Linked DNA regions of Notamacropus eugenii. The protein of the gene in region 1 interacts with the protein of each later gene in a pairwise test. Links are inferred from orthologs where the notes say so. Each region holds a gene or a part of one and is shown on either strand. Other genes may lie near its edges.

The links. The genes of interacting proteins can lie anywhere in the genome.
Region 2: the proteins of GOLGA2 (region 1) and PPP1R18 interact in binary tests that used the Homo sapiens proteins (3 or more experiments, as listed by UniProt). The two-hybrid records come from large-scale screens. The link is inferred for Notamacropus eugenii from reciprocal best matches to the Homo sapiens genes GOLGA2 and PPP1R18.

What each region holds. Positions count from the first base shown.
Region 1 is NC_092872.1:479,583,266-479,591,170, reverse strand, and holds the start of GOLGA2 (golgin subfamily A member 2), read left to right. Parts: upstream 1-4,897; 5' UTR 4,898-5,075; coding exon 5,076-5,123; intron 5,124-6,772; coding exon 6,773-6,895; intron 6,896-7,509; coding exon 7,510-7,590; intron 7,591-7,905. UniProt on the Homo sapiens protein: Peripheral membrane component of the cis-Golgi stack that acts as a membrane skeleton that maintains the structure of the Golgi apparatus, and as a vesicle thether that facilitates vesicle fusion to the Golgi membrane.
Region 2 is NC_092873.1:84,556,631-84,564,258, reverse strand, and holds the start of PPP1R18 (phostensin), read left to right. Parts: upstream 1-4,626; 5' UTR 4,627-4,709; coding exon 4,710-4,718; intron 4,719-4,957; exon of another isoform or gene 4,958-5,043; intron 5,044-5,255; exon of another isoform or gene 5,256-5,274; intron 5,275-6,186; coding exon 6,187-7,628. Other genes in the region: NRM (nurim), read left to right, coding at 449-645, 2,128-2,304, 2,738-3,019.

The DNA of each region.
Region 1 (7,905 bases):
GAGGTTAGTGATACAAAACTTCAGCTCAGGAGAGAGACTAGAGCTGAATATATAGATCTGGAGATCACCTGCATAGACTTCTCAATTTAACCCATGGGAGAATAGACTTGTCAATTTAGCCAGGTGAGAGAATGTAGAAAAGAAAGAAAATAGCACAAGACAAAGCCCTGGTGTATACTCAGTTGATGGAGGGAAACCAGGATGAAGATCCAGCAAAGAAAAAAATTTGGAACTACGTCTTAGAGTCCTATAAAACTGCGTATACCCTTTGACCCAGCAAAACTACTACTAGGTCTATATCCCAAAGAGATCAAAGGAAAAGGAAAAGCACTTACATGTATGAAGCTATTTACAGAAGCTTATTTTGTGGTGGCAAAGAATTGGAAATCGATGGGATGCCTATCAGTTAGGGAATGGCTAAACAAGCTGTGACATATGATTATGATGGAATACCATTGTGCTACAAGAAATTATGAAGGTGATGGTTTCAGAAAAACCTGAGAAGACTCATGTGAGCTGATGCAAAGTGAAGTGAGCAGAACTAGGAGAACATGGTACATAGTAACAGCAATATTATAATGACATTCAACTGTGAAAGACTTAGCTACCCTAAAATACAATGATCCAAGACAATTCCAAAAAACTCTCAAAGAAAAATGCTATCCACCTCCAGAGAGAACTGATGAACTCTGAATGCAAACTGAAGCATACTTTTTTCATTTTTTGGGTTTTTTTTTGCAACAAGGCTATGTTTTACATGAATTCACATGTATAATTAATACAATATTGCTTGCCTTCTCAATGGATAAGGGGGGGAGGGAGAGAACTAGGAACTCAAAATTTTAAAAAATGAATGTTTTTCTAATTTTTTAACATTTTATTTAAAGTTCTGAGTTCCAAATTCTGTCCGTCCTTCCCCTTCCTGAGGTGGTAAGCAATCAGATTTAGGCTATACATGTACAATTATGTAAAACATTTCCATATTAGTCATTTTGGACAAGCAGACTCAAATAAAATAAAATGAAAGAAAGTGAAAAATAGCATGCTTCAGTCTGCATTCAATCAATATCAGTTCCTTTCTCTGGAGGTGGATAGTATGCTTATCATTAGTCCTTTGAAATTGTCTTAGATCATTGTACTGAGGAGAATAGCTAACTCATTCACAGTTCTTCATTGAACAATATTGCTGTTACTGTGCACAGTGTGCTCCTGCTTCTGCTCACTTCATTCTGCATGAGTTCATATAGATCCTTCCAGGATTTTCTGAAATCTTCCTTTTCTTATAGCACAATAATATTCCACTACAATCACATACCACAACTTGTTTAGCCACTCCCCAATTGATGGGCATCCATCCCTTGGATTTCCAGTTCTTAGCCACCACAAAAAGAGCTGCTATAAATATTTTATACCAATAGTTCCTTTTCCCTTTTGTTGGATGTCTTTAGGATATAGACCTAGGAGTGGTACTGCTATATCAAAGGGTATGCATAGTTTTATAGCCCTTTGGGCATAGTTCCAAATTGCTCTCCAGAATGGTTGGATAAGTTCTCAACTCCACCAACGGTGTATTAGATTCCCAGTTTTCCCACATCCCCTCCAACATTCAATATAAAATATTTTTTTAAAATATATAAATATAATTATATATATAATTTTATTGTATAAATAAAATTTTTAAAAATAAAAATATTAAAACTATATGAAAAAATAGTTGAACTCCTTGGCTGAGAGGGTGGGAAAGATGGGGAGGTATGGGAGGTTTGAGGAAAGAAAATGAAACAGCCTCTGTGCAAAGAGGGACAGAGAGCATCAATTAGGGAGGAATAAAAGGATTGCTTTGCTACAGGGAGGGCCCTATTAAGATTAGATAATATAAAGTGGTAATGCATCCAGTCACCGTGGTTGCACGATATTCTCTAGTTTTGTTCAGCAGCACAAGCAGGAGTAAAAGGGGAAGGTGGTGGAAGAATACATGGTTAATTTTGGGCAAGGCATGATTGTCAACAGGACAAGGGAGCAAGGAAATCAAAATCAGAGGGCCAAAAGTAGTCAAACTGTTTAACTGTAAGATCAAAGTTGAGAAAGTACTGACCAGTGGATGGTCTAGAGGTCATTATCAGATGAAGAAGAGATTTAGGAGGAGTAAGCCATAGGGAGAGATGGAATGATAGGTTATGATAAAAGGATTATAAGGGTTTTTCATCGAGAAGGTATACATGGAGAGTATCCCTGGAGATAAATCATGGGATATAAGGATATATCAGATACTGAATAACTTGAGAATGAGCTGGGGCCAGTAAATGTTAGCCACCATGATTTTGGTTTTTAAAAATGTATCAATAAAAATAACAATCTAATCTAGCTTGTATTGAAATTACATCAAAATCAAGGTGTTATGTAATTTTTTTTAAATAGAAAAATGAGTAGGATTCAGATAGAAAGAAAGGGCAGGGCAGAGTGGAGTGAATATAGCTACAGAGGTGGGAATAAACTTAGCATTTTGCAAGGACAATAAGACCAGTATGACCAGAGCAAAAGAAGTATTTAGAAATGAGGTTAGAAAGGTAGAACAAGGTCAGATTGTAGAAAGTCTTATATACCTGGTTCAGAAGTATCAAACTGATCTTTTAGTTATTTAGGCATTACTACAGGTTTTTGAGCTAGAGGGTAATATGATGTGTTTTGGCAGAATTAACCTAGAAATGGCAGTGTGAATGATGGTTGGAGGCAAGGCTGGTAATGGTAAGAGCGAGGAGGCCAAGAGTTCATGAATGAAGTGGTCATAGGTAAGATTCAGGTAAAGGCCTGAACTGGGGTTGTATCCATGGAGATGAAAAGCTACAGGTGGGAAAAACACTACAAAGAATATACAAGATCTGATAAACATGGAGGTGATGGAGAGCGAAGGATCACAGATGCTTCTGTGTTTTCTCAAACATGGAAAATGGTAAAAGAAACAGTGAAGTCAAGAGGAAGGGGCAATTTTGACAAGGAGACACAGATCATTTTAGATGCACTGAGTGCATCTAGTGAGATGAAAGTAAGACATCCAAACGGAAAAATATCCAGGAGGCAGTTGGAAATGTAAAACTCATCTGAAAGCTCAGAATGACAGATACGGATCTGAAAGTCATCAACAGAAGTACTGATCAAACAGCAAAATAAATGACAATTGAAAACCACAAAGTAAGTTATCAACTACAGAAAGACAAAGAGAAGAACAGGGAAATGCGGAAAAGGCGCCAGAGGAACGAATACTCAAGTGGCTGAAAAAGCAGAATAGTAGTGACTTGAAGAGGCAAGAGAGAGTTCCAAGGAGTCAGGAGAGAACAGTATCAATTTTTTGCAAGTAGGTAAAGGAGAATGAAGGATAAAAAAAGGCCACTGGGTTTGCCAATTAAAAGTCACTGGACATCTAAGAAATAAGACTGCCAAGGGTTAAAGAGCAAGTGGGTAACGAAGGCAGAAGGTAGGCTTGGCAAAGAAGTGGAGGGATGTAACTAGTGGGGGCAGTAGATCAAATAAAGTTTTTTGTTTGTTTTTCCCCTCTCTCCCAAGATTGGGGAGATCCGTGTACTTAAAGGTAGAGGGGAAGCAACCAGTTGGGAGGAAAAGATTGTAGAAATTATGGAGGAAAGGCCTAAAGAAAGCAGAAGACACAAGGGGAGGTTAGCTTTGGGTGGGACTTCATCTGAGGGGTGAGGGTGAGAAAACATAGCTAGAGGCAGAAATATTTCGAGGTAGAGAATACTGGATGAAATAACATCAGATATCCTTCCTGGATCACCTTAGTCAAGTAGGAGGCAGATAAGTCATTCAATTCATCAGGTATTTATTAAACACCTACGACGACGGCATGAATCTGATACAAGCGGAAGGAGACACTGGAGGTATGAGGTAGGATAGGAAAGGCAAGGTTTGGGTAAAGTGCTAGGAAAACGTCTGCTCTGGAATCAGAGATCAAGGAATGGAGTGCTGCGCTGTAACTGAGGAGGTCCAGCAGGCTGGGGAAAGACACTGCCTGTGTGGCACAGGGCAGGGACAGGCAGCAGAGCTTGTGGCATACTCACGGGGGATCGAAAAGCTGCCGAATGCCGTTTGGAGAGTCCCAGGCGTGCCCTAGAAAGCAACCAAGGAAGAGGAGTGGTTAGGGACCCAGGGGGGTGGGAAGAGCGGAGAACCTACAAGGTTACTTGAGAGCTTGGGGACCCCCTGGGGTGAGGACGGCTGGGCAAAGGGAAACTGAATCAGGCTGTTCAGGACACGGCATTGCGGAAGGGATGGAGACCAAGCACAGGTGGAGCAGACCCTAAAGGGCAGAGGTCCCAACGGAGCTGAGGGTCTCTGGGAAGGTGCCAATGGCAGGGCTGGATCTGTGCGTTGGTTTCTTCAGAGGGGAGGCGTCTGATGGTGTTCACTGAAGGCGTCTCTTAAAGGAGGGGCCGTCATCTTAAGACGGGTTTCTGAAGCGGGTGGGATCTTTGGGGAGGGTGGGGTCTTTAGAAGGAATGACGGTGCTCATGATGGGGGGAGGGGGAAGAACAAGCATCTATTAAGCGCCCGCTAAGAGCCAGGCACCGTGCTAGGCACACTGGAAGGGGCTGAGGTCTCCAGAGCAGGGGGTTTCCGAAGAGGGTGTAGGATCTTGGGGGGGGAGAGGTCTACGATGAGTGTCGTCCCCTCCGCACCTCCGGAGGCTCGGGGTCCCGGGCTCCCCTCCCGAGGGTCTCTGCAGCGCGCGGGGCTCCAGGGCTGCCGAGGAGAAGAGCGGCGGCGGGCCTGAGGCTCGCACCCGAACCAGGACGAGCGGGCTCCCCAGGAGCCCGGAGCGTCGGCGCCAGTCGTGAGCAGACCGCGAGACGAGAGGACAGACTGTAGCCAAGTACAGAGGGGCGGGGCGGGTGACGCGGCGCAGGCGCAGACGCTGGGAAGCGCGGCGCTGTCCGACCCCGCCCTTCGCCCTCCCTATGGGAGGAGCGGGTGCGGCGCGGTGGCTGCTGGATGGAATGCCGCGGTGGTTGCCGGGATCACGGTGATGTGGCCCCCCCCGCCTTCCCCCTCCCCGGCCCGGGATGGCGGACGAGACCCGGCAGAGCAAATTGGCGGCGGCCAAAAAGAAGGTAAATGCTCTTGAGACGGCCCCTGCGCTCGGGGGCTCGGCTCCGCCCCCTCCTTTCCCGCCGCCAGGACCCTGACAGACCCCCTCCCGGATCCAGGCTCTCCTCGTTTCTCTCAGACCCCCTTCCGGATCCCTTAGATCGTCCTCCTGATTCTTCTCGGGTCTCCCCCGCCGGTGTCTGAGGGCCACCTTCTCGTGTTCCTCCTCGATCTCCTCAGGGTCCTCGTCCCCAGTCCCGCAGGTCCCCGTTCCTGAACCCCACAGGTCCCGAGCCCCGCGCCCTCCAAGACTTCCCTAAATCCCTGGCGCCCCACGCCCCTCCCCCGCAGCCCCCTTGGTGACTTTGGGCCCGTGACACTCTTTCCCTGGGCCCGACCCGTGACGTCAGGCCCAGCTGTTGGCCTCCCGGAAAGGCCTCCCCCCTTCTCACAGCTGGTGCCTGGAGGGAGATGCCCTCTGCTCGTCTCGGGGCCCCTGGAGCCTCTCGTCCCCTCTCCCACCGAAACCCAGATACCCCAGGAGGGGCCCCAAGGTGAAGGCTTGGGCACGCCAGCAGCCAGGCCTGCCCCGCCCGCTCTGTGGGAATCCGACGCCGTCCTGGACTTCCTCCCTCGGAGCCCTTCCCAAACCTCTTCCAGCCTGTTCTGCACCCTGCCCAACCCCCAGCATCGGACTCCCTTTGCCTCAGACCCAGAGTTAGGGACGGAGGGGGGGGGGTGCGCAGGTGGGGTAGGGAAAGGTGTGTGTGGAAGGACCACATATAGGGTAATATTATAGGGGAGTGGATAATTGTTTCTCTCGGAGTAACTCGTGGGGAGGACTTGGAATGAGGTTGGGCCACCATCCCCCTTCCCAAGTTGTCATTAGAACCTTCTGGCCTGGGAAATGGACGGGATTTTTTAAATGACTAACTGAGGAGGTTCTTGAGCCCCTTGAGAACACTTTCAAAAGAGTTCCAAAGACGTGGAGTGACTGCATCACTGTGTACATTCAGAGACTTAACATTGATGATAACGATGGCTAGTAAGATCCTAAATTTATCTAGTTCCTTGATTCTTATGTTCTCAAAGATTCAAAACATGCTGGAAAAGTGAATGAGAGGATTGTTTCTGCCCAGATTCTAACTCTTTTGAAAGGTCCATGGTTTTTTCTTTCAACTTTCCACCACACCCTCTTATTACCTAAATTTCTGGAACCACAATCCTTTTCATTCATTGCCCTCTGGGATAATATATGCTCACCTATTGGAGGAATGGAGAGGACTTAAAATGAGAGGAATTCTGTTAGGGTTGGGAGAGAAGTTAGTTTTGAGAGGTTAGCAAAGGACTTAAAGTTGGGACACCTGAGGCTGAGTCCGGGTTCTCACACTTAATTATCTGGGCAAGTCATTTCCCCTTTTACCAACTAGTTCTGAGGAACATGCCTTGTAAACTTTAAAGCACTTTGGAAGTATGACTTATTAAGGAAACTGAGCATCTGAGCTGTGAATCATTTCTCAGCACCTAGAGAGCCTTTGGGCAAAGTTGGAATCCAAACCTAGCTGTTTGACATGCTTTCTTCTTGAGCCCACCTCATTGTATAATTTGCACTGTCCTGGACCCTGGATCATGACCCTTGCCATTTCCAACCCTAACCTTTTCCTCTCCAAAGTTGAAGGAGTATCAACAGAAGACCAGCCCTGGTACCCCAGCAGGAGCCAAGAAAAAAAGGAAAACGAAAGATGGGAATAACCCCGAGACTCCTCCATCTGGCGACCGACACTCTCCTGAGGATGTGAGTCTTAATTAGAAACACTCCCTTGGAAAGATGGAGAAAAAGGGGTGACCTGACTCAGCTGACAGTTTTCCCCTATCCCCAGAAGAAGCGTTACAAATGAAAACGGCACCAAGCCACCTGCCCTTCCCTTTAAGACATACTAGCAAAGTCATGGTGGGAGTGAAGTCATATAATAGAAAAAGACCTGGAAATTGGAAATCAAGAAATCTAGATTCTTGTCTCATTTCTGCTACTCACTGCATGACTTGTGCAAGTCACTTCACTCCTCTGAACCTGTTTAAAAGAAGTAAAAGAGATAAACTAAGTATTCTTAGATGGCACTTCTAGCTTTATTGTTTTAGGATTTTATGATTCTGTGAACTTCTCTCCAGCTTTTCTGGATTATGTTAACATGGCCTTGCCCAAACAAGGCCAAAAGTAGATGTTAGGAAGGCTATCCCCAACCGCTGTCTATGGATTGGGTCCTTACCTTAGCCACCTTCAGTTCCCATCCTTACCCCCATTTCCTTAAGCCTGTCCCTTCCACTCTTCCCAACTCTTATCTCCTCCCTCTAAGCCACCTCTCTTTCTCTCTTCTTCCCTTTTTGTTTCTCCCTTTTCGCCTCTTGTAGATTCAGGACATTCTGAAGGTGCTGGTGTCCGACCTTAACCGTTCCAATGGGGTAGCGCTACCCACATTGGACAAGCGGAAGGTGAGACAGTGCCGAGGTCCCCTCTCACTGGCTTGCTTTCCCAGCTCTGCATGCCCCCAAGACTTCTCTGGGTTTGGGGATGACCTCCTGCTTTATTTTTCTGTTGCTGTCATTAACCCATGGTGGCCTGATTACTCCCTCATGTTCTCCTACTTTGTTAGTTTTGTTTTTCCCCTCTCCCACCCCTTTGTTATCTAGGAGGAAGTAAAATGCATTTTGTAGCTAAAGGTAGAGTCAGGAGAGTCTTCAGAAAATTTTTGGTCTGTTGGTCACTATAAAAAAAATGTAAGAAACACCCTGGGTCCCTCCTCAAAC
Region 2 (7,628 bases), on another chromosome or scaffold:
CCTGTATGGTCACAAAGCTAGTAAGCATCAGAGGCATAATTTGAACTCAAGTCTCTCCTAACTCCTAGGTTTGACTTCTTTTTCCTCACAGGTGGAGCAGAAGTGAATAGGTTTGGGTTGGGGTTTTTCAAGCCTCTGGGCACTAACAACCTCTTGATCTAAAAGACTTCTCAGAAACTCCCAAATCCTCTTCTCAGTCAACTTCTTTCTGAAAGGTTCAGCCAGCATCACTTAAAACTCCTTTTCTATATATTAGCCCTAAGGGAATTGCTGGAGATGGGAAGTAAAGCCACATCATGGGGAATGGAGAGTAATAGGGGCATGGTCTAGACAGGTTCTCTGAGTGACATCAGGAATTAGGGGACATGGCCTGAGATTCAAAGGAGATATTTAGAATAACGGTGATCTTTCCCTGTCCTTTTGATATCCTGTCTCCCCCCATCCTAAGATTCTCGACAGGAATGGCTGACTGCCCTACAGGACCCTGGCATCTTGGCAGCTCTAGCCCAGGACCTGGGACTGGTGCTGTTATTCATGGGGCAGCACAGTCTTATGGCAACAGAGCCTGTGAAGACATGGATGGCCCAGCGCTTTGGGGTCCTACAGAGGTCACTCTATGTGGCCTGCACTGCCCTGGCCCTGCAGGTATGGGGACTAGACAGCTAGGTCCCCAAGAGAAGTAGGGTCTGGGGAAAGGAAAGCCTGGGGATGAGGGTGCCAGATGCCTGGGTTCCTGAGTAAACTGAGAATTAACAGAGAATGAGCTGGAAGCATTCAAACCTCTGCACATTCTAATCACTAAACTCTCTAACTGCAGCTCCCACTACTTCCCTACTGTAGACTGAGTAGGCCCATTGTTTCCCAAACATACCCCCTTCTTTTTTCCTCCCCATTCCCCCCTGCTTGGAATGCCTACCACCTCCTCTCTTTTCCAAAACCTGCATATGCCTTTAAGGCCTGATCTTCATCTCCTAGTTCCTCAAAGAAGTCTTTACCAATGACCATAGTTTTATTGTTGATCTCCTCCCTCTTTTGAGGTCCTTTTTCTAATATGACATATTGCCATAGACCTTTATCACATATGATATATATATGCCTGATAATTATATGTTGCTTTATTATTTATCTCTAGATACATATTGTAACCAAATTGTAAGCTCCTCTAGGGCAGTGATCATACATCTTATAAATATGCTAAAACATTTATTCTCTCCTGTGTGCTTCCACACTGTGCCAGTGATATTCCTAGAGTACAGGACTAGCCTGCTCAATAAATTTCAGTGGTTCCCTACTACCTCTAGGATCAAATATGAAATTCCCTGTTTAGCATTTAGAGCCCCTGCTCAGTCTGGTTCCAACTTACCTTTCCAACTCTTATTTTACATTGTTGTCCTTCATATGCTTATGTCTGTCTAGCCTGGCCTTCTCTCTCTGTCTTTCTTTTACTCCCAATCCCCCCCACCCCACCCCCCCCCACACACAAAATTCTGCCTCCCATCTCTGGACTTCTGCACAAACTTTCCCCTCCCACCTACCCCCACCCCATGCTTCCTCCCCTATGCCTCCTAGAATCTTTTTTTTCCTTTGAAGCTCAGCTCAAGCACATCTCCTACATGAGACCTTTCCTGAGCCCCTTGTATTTATTTTATATGTACTTCTCACTCCTATAGAATAGGAGTCTCATGGACGAGACTTTCATTGTTGCCTGTGCCTGGCATGTAGTAGGCCCTTAATAAATGCTGTTGATTGATTGCAAGGTCTGAGATCCAGATAGGATTTTAGAGTAGCAGTGAGAGATATCTACCCCCCACTTCTGAGGCTTAAGAAAAATAAATAAAGCATGATCTAATACTTGCTTGTAATTCCGTCACCTAACATGGCATCCTACATATAGTGGACATCAAAAAACATTTGTGTTTGTTAATAAGGGTTTGAAAACCAGTCTTGGAGCACCCTGCATGAATTATTAGAAGTAAAAGCCATCAGGGAGCTAGAGATGTGTGTGTGTGTGTGTGTGTGTGTATTGTGGCATTGTGGGAGGTGAGGGGGGAGCCTCCCCTCAACATATTAAATGATTACATCTCCAAGGGGAGTTGAATCTAGCTATCCCCTATCTGTTTCTTTCAGGTGATAATGCGTTATTGGGAGCCAGTGCCAGAGGGCCCAGTTCTCTGGGAAGCACAGTCAGAGCCCTGGGTGACCTGGGTACCCCTTCTCTGCTTCGTGATGCACATCATAGCGTGGCTTCTCATTTTTAGTATCCTCTTGGTTTTTGACTATCCTGAACTCATGGGCCTCAAACAGGTAATTTCCAGTTCCTGGGCCTCTAACCTTTGGACATCATTCTTTATCTCTTCTAAGACTTGAATCACCTTCAATCTCCCCATCCCTAACCAATCTTCACAAGTTTTTGCTCCACCCTCACCTCGGTCTACCAGTTACCTTTCTTTCCCCCCCACCATGGAGCCATGATCTCATACTCCTCCCCCAGAATCTAGAAATGGTAGCTCCCATGGATTTGTAGGAGAGTCAAGAGCCAAGAGTTAGGCTCAAAGGGGAGACCTTAGTCCCAAGGATTGAAGGAGGATTAGATTTATATCCTTGGAGAAATGGAAGAGGTAACCTTGGAAGATGAGCAGAGACAGCCTTTTATAAGGAATTGAGGGAGTAGAATTAGAGGCAAAGGGATATAATGATTCAATTTCTGATCTAATGTCCTTCCATCCCTCTCCCATAGGTATATTACCATGTGCTGGGGCTGGGGGAGCCATTGGCTCTGAAGTCCCCTAGGGCACTGAGACTCTTTGAGCACTTGAGACATCCTGTGTGTGTGGAGCTCCTGACAGTGCTGTGGGCTGTGCCCCGACTGGGCCTTGACAGAATCCTCTTGGCTGCACTGCTCACCCTCTACCTGGGCCTGGCACATGGGCTAGACCAGCAAGACTTGCGCTACCTCCGTGCCCAGCTTCAAAGAAAGCTTCAGTTACTTGCTGGGCCCCAAGATGTAGATGCTGAGTGAAAGTGAAATCTAGTCCCTAGGATGAAACTATTGTCCCTAGACTCTAAAGCCCTGACTCCCCATTCAAAGTTCTGTTCCCTGAAATCTAAGAGTTATCCTAGAGAATCTGTCTTCTGGATTCCAAGTTCCACTCCAGAATCTGAGGTTTCCACACCTACTCTAACTTGAGAGGCCACCCCTTGAAGCTTGGGGCTGTATGCTTCTAGGTCCTTTGATGCCTCCCCCCCACCCCCAAACTCTGTCTCTCTTGAATTCCCAGCTCTACCTCCTAGACTCCAAGTTTCTCTCCCTGTGAACTTCAGCAGGGTTCTCTAGATATGGTATACAGCTAGCTCCTTGACTTGGAGCCCATACTCAAATTCTAGATTTAGTATCCCTTAATCCAGGATCCCACTCCCCTACCTAAGGACCCCTCAATGCAATCTAGAAAGAGAGATGAGGTACTGAAGGAGGAATGAGGATTTTGGGCTTGTCCCCAACTAGAGACCTCTTTCTGCCTATTTTCCTCTCCAAATCCTAGGGGAAGAGGTTGGCCCTGATCAGTCTACTATCACTGATCCCCAGCCCCATTCTCAGGGACCCCTCCTTTTCCTTTATATCTTCACCTACCCCAGAACAGAATTGTTTTCCAGCCTCCAGACTGAAGTACCTTTCCTTAGTTCTCTATCCCCCATTGTCCAGCCTTTCCCTCAGCGTCCTTGAGGTTCCTTTTAAAATTTCTCCCTCACCACTTAGGCTCTATGTCCTTGAAGCAAATGTTGGGAGGACGGGGAAAGAACCTCTTCACTCCCCACCTCAGTGCCTTCATGTTTCCCAAAGAACATGTAAGAAGCTGGCCAATAAATCCAAATATTATGTCTTCTTTACGTGCCTCTTAAGGTCACAAGTGTTTATCTCTGGTCTGGACAGTTAGCTGGTTCCGGATCCTTAGAGAATGGAAGGGAGAATTGAAACAGGGAGGGGCAGAGTAGAGTGATAGGCCTAAGACCAACTGTCTCAGCAGCTACAAAGTAGGGGGTGGGGATGACGGGTGGAAAGAAAGCAAATGCTTGCAGTAACTACAGCTACTGTTCCCTCCAGTGGCCACTATGCTTCGGCCATTCCTCAAGGTCCTGCCTTCTATCATTTTGAGGATGCCCCAGTCTCCCACCTTCAGGAAGGGGGCATAGTTACTTCTTCCGCTAGCAATCCCGCCTGCCAACACCTGGATGATCTCAGGGTTGAGTAGACCGCTGATTTGAAAGGTGGAAGCCCAGTCCCTAACCAAATCAAAGCCAAGCATGCAGGAGTCTCCACCCATCCCGCCGACTTTGATCTTAGACCCGCTCCACCCCTACCCCCAATCACTTTCAGTCCCCACTCCCAACCCGGCAGTCTTGACCAGCGACCCTACAAAAATAAAGCTCTGGGAGCTAAGAAGGGAGGAGGGCGGGAGATGGGCTGGGCAGGACGGCTCCCAGCAGCTGCTGCTTCCTCCCTGGGCCCCCCTAGGGGCCTGAGTCACGGGCCACCGCCCTGGACCGGGGCTTTGGGAGGGGGAAAGAGGAGGGAGGAAAGATTGGGGGTGGGGGGTGGAGAGTCCCGGGAGAAGTTGAGTGCAAAGGACACCTGGGTCCCGCAGGGCAGAACGGCCGAAGGAGAGTGAGGCAGCTGGAGGTTGAGGATCAGGATACTTGGGTCCCAGAGAGGAATGAGAGCGGTGAGCTTGGGGGTTGCGCGTCTGGGAGTGCTTTCCAGAGAAGAGCCAGCTAGGGGGTCCTGGGGGCGGGAGGCCCCGCCCCTTGAAGCCAGTTCCGCCTCTCGCCCCCTTCTCTCTCCCCATTGTCCTCAGACAAAGCGGTCGCCGCCCCCAGCCCGGCCCCCCTTGGTTTGGGTCTATCTCTCCTCCTCCTTCCCTCCTTCCTCCCTCCCTCCCTCCCATCTCCAACTCTGCCTCGCTCCCTTTCTTTCTCTTCCTTCTCTCCCTCTCCAGACGCTTTCTCGACCTCGAACCCCCTCCCTCCCCCGTGGGACCCTGCCAGTACGTGAGTTGGGAGGGGGGGTTCAGACTCCGAGGATAGATGTCCCCACCCTCATCACCTTCGGCCGCCACCCTTTTCCCCTCCACTCTTTCTTCTGCCTGGGAGATTTTCTTTGTGTAGCGAGTAGGAGTAGAGTGCGAGAGAGGCTAGGGACCGCAACATCTCGCTCCCAGGGTCAGAGTGACAGGGGACTCTGGAGGGCGACGGGGGAGGACACCTAGGTGCCTAACTGAGGTGAAGAGGGCTGGACAGACCAGAGCTGGTTATCTGGGTCCCCGGACTGGGAGGAGGGCTATGGGCGAGGGGGAGGAGTGGACATCTGGGTTCTGAGAAGGGGTTGGGTGCTCGGCCGCCTGGTTTCCAAAAGTCCCCGGGTACTGTCTTTTCCCAGACCCGCCCCAAGAGGCGGGGTGCGTAGGCCCGGTGGGGGGAGGAGGGGGTGGCCCGGGACTGGAGGGGCGTGGCTGGTGAGAGGTTGGAGGGGAAGCTAGAGTCCGCTAGGGCCCACGCTGTGACTGGCAGGTCTGCTGCACAGTTCCCTCCTCCCCTCTCTCCTTATCCCCTTCTTACCCTTTCCCCTATCCCTTTGGTGCACCCTTACCTCTCCCCTTTTCCGTGTCCATCCTCCCTCCCCCCAACACCATGGCTTCGCTTTTTCACCCCCCACGTCAGGAGTTCCCCTAACCTCCACATCTCCCCCTTTAGCCACCCACTTGGTTCCTTCCCCTGGTTCTTCTCCAAACTGTCTTCTCTTCTTTTTTCTCTTCTCTCATCTAAAATATTCTGTCATCCTCCACCATACCCCAATATTCTATCTTGCTTTTTTCTCCCTTTCTCCCTCCCAGCTTTCTTCCCCTCCATTGTATCACTCAGTCTCTTCCCTCCCCCTACTTTTCTTCTGTTCAGTTCCTCAGTATTTCTTCTGATTCTCCCTTTCTTTTCATTCTTTTCTAGCAGTTCTCTTCCCTTTCCTAGTCTTCCTGTCTTTCCCTCTTTCCAGGGGATTCTCTCTTCCTTTCTTCTACTTTGTCTTCCCACACAAACTCTCCGCCACATTTCCTCTCCCTCTGCCCCACCAGTACTTTCATTCTCCAGTTCTCTTACTTCTTTCTTCTCCCTGACGTTGCTCCATCTCCTCCCCTCCAGTTCTCTTGCCCCACTGGGACCATGGCTACTGTCCCAGATTGGAAGTTACAACTACTAGCCAGGCGAAGACAAGAAGAGGCTGCTGTTCGAGGCCGGGAGCAGGCTGAGAAGGATCGACTGGCCCAGATGCCAGCTTGGAAACGGGGACTATTGGAGCGACGCCGTGCCAAGCTAGGAGTGCCAGTGGGGGAACCAGGTCCTGGGAATGAGGCTACAGATGCAGCACCTCCTGAACTCGATGAGCCTGTGGTCCTTCTAGAGGCCATTGGACCTGTCCACCAGAATCGCTTCATCCGCCAAGAACGCCAAGAGCTAAAGCAGCAGCAGCAGCAAGGTGTGGAAGAGCAGCTCACTGATCGGAGGCCACCTGAGGGTCGAGGACACATTTCAGGGAGAGGGGAAGCCCGAGAGCAGAGACCCAGCATGGCAGAGGCTCAGGAACAGAGTCTGGTGGGAAAAGAGTCAAGAGAGCAGAGGCTGAGCCTGGGGGAGTCTGGAGATAGGAAGCTGGGGGTAGCAGAAGTTCCAGAGCAAAGCCTTAGGCCTGCAGAGGCCTTGGAATGGAGATTGAGCCCAAGGGAGACTGAGGAGAGGAGCTCCAGCCTTTCAGAGTCACGGAAATGGAAGAAAAGCCCTGGGGAAGCTCGAAAACGAAATGTGAATCCAGCAGAACCTCAAGAACAGACCTCTGGGGCATCTGAAATGGGAGAATGTAGACTGAGCTCAGGAGACCGTGGAGAGCGTGGAGAACTGAGGCTGGGGATGACAGAGATACACAAATGGAGGATGAATTCCAGAGAAGTCTTGGAACAGAGTCCAGAGCCGTTGGAGGCTCGAGAATGGAGGATCAACCCAGGAGAAGAAAGCAAAGGGAGATCAGGGGAATCGGGGACAGAACAGAGACTAATGCAGAGGAAATCCAGGGAGAACTCAGGACTTTTAGAGACACAAAGATGTAGGTTAAGTCCTGGTGAGTTTCGAGAACGAAGCCCAGGGGTAATGGAGGCAGCAGAAATGAGGTTGAATTCAGGAGAGGATGTAGAGAAGAGTTCTAGACAGTTAGAAGTAAGGAAATGGAGACTGAACTCTGGGAAGGCTCGAGAATGGAGCCCTGGGAGATCGGAGGCTGAAGGGCAGAAGACAGCACCTTCAGACTCTGGAGATCAGAAGTTGCTGTTGCCTACACTGAAGGCCGAAGAAGGGAGGATAGGGGCTGCTGTAGAGGAAGCTGGGGATGGAGGCAGGATGGTGAGCTCCCTTAGAAGCCACTACTCTGTAACCTCCCCCTCACCACCTGAGGAAGTTGGGGCCGGAGGCTCAGGGCTGCAGGAAGAGGAAGCAGCAGAACCTCAGCCCCCACCACCACCTTCAGTATCTCCCCTACCCCCTGCCCCACCAACTCCTCAGCCCCCAGGGGACCCGCTGATGAGTCGCCTGTTCTA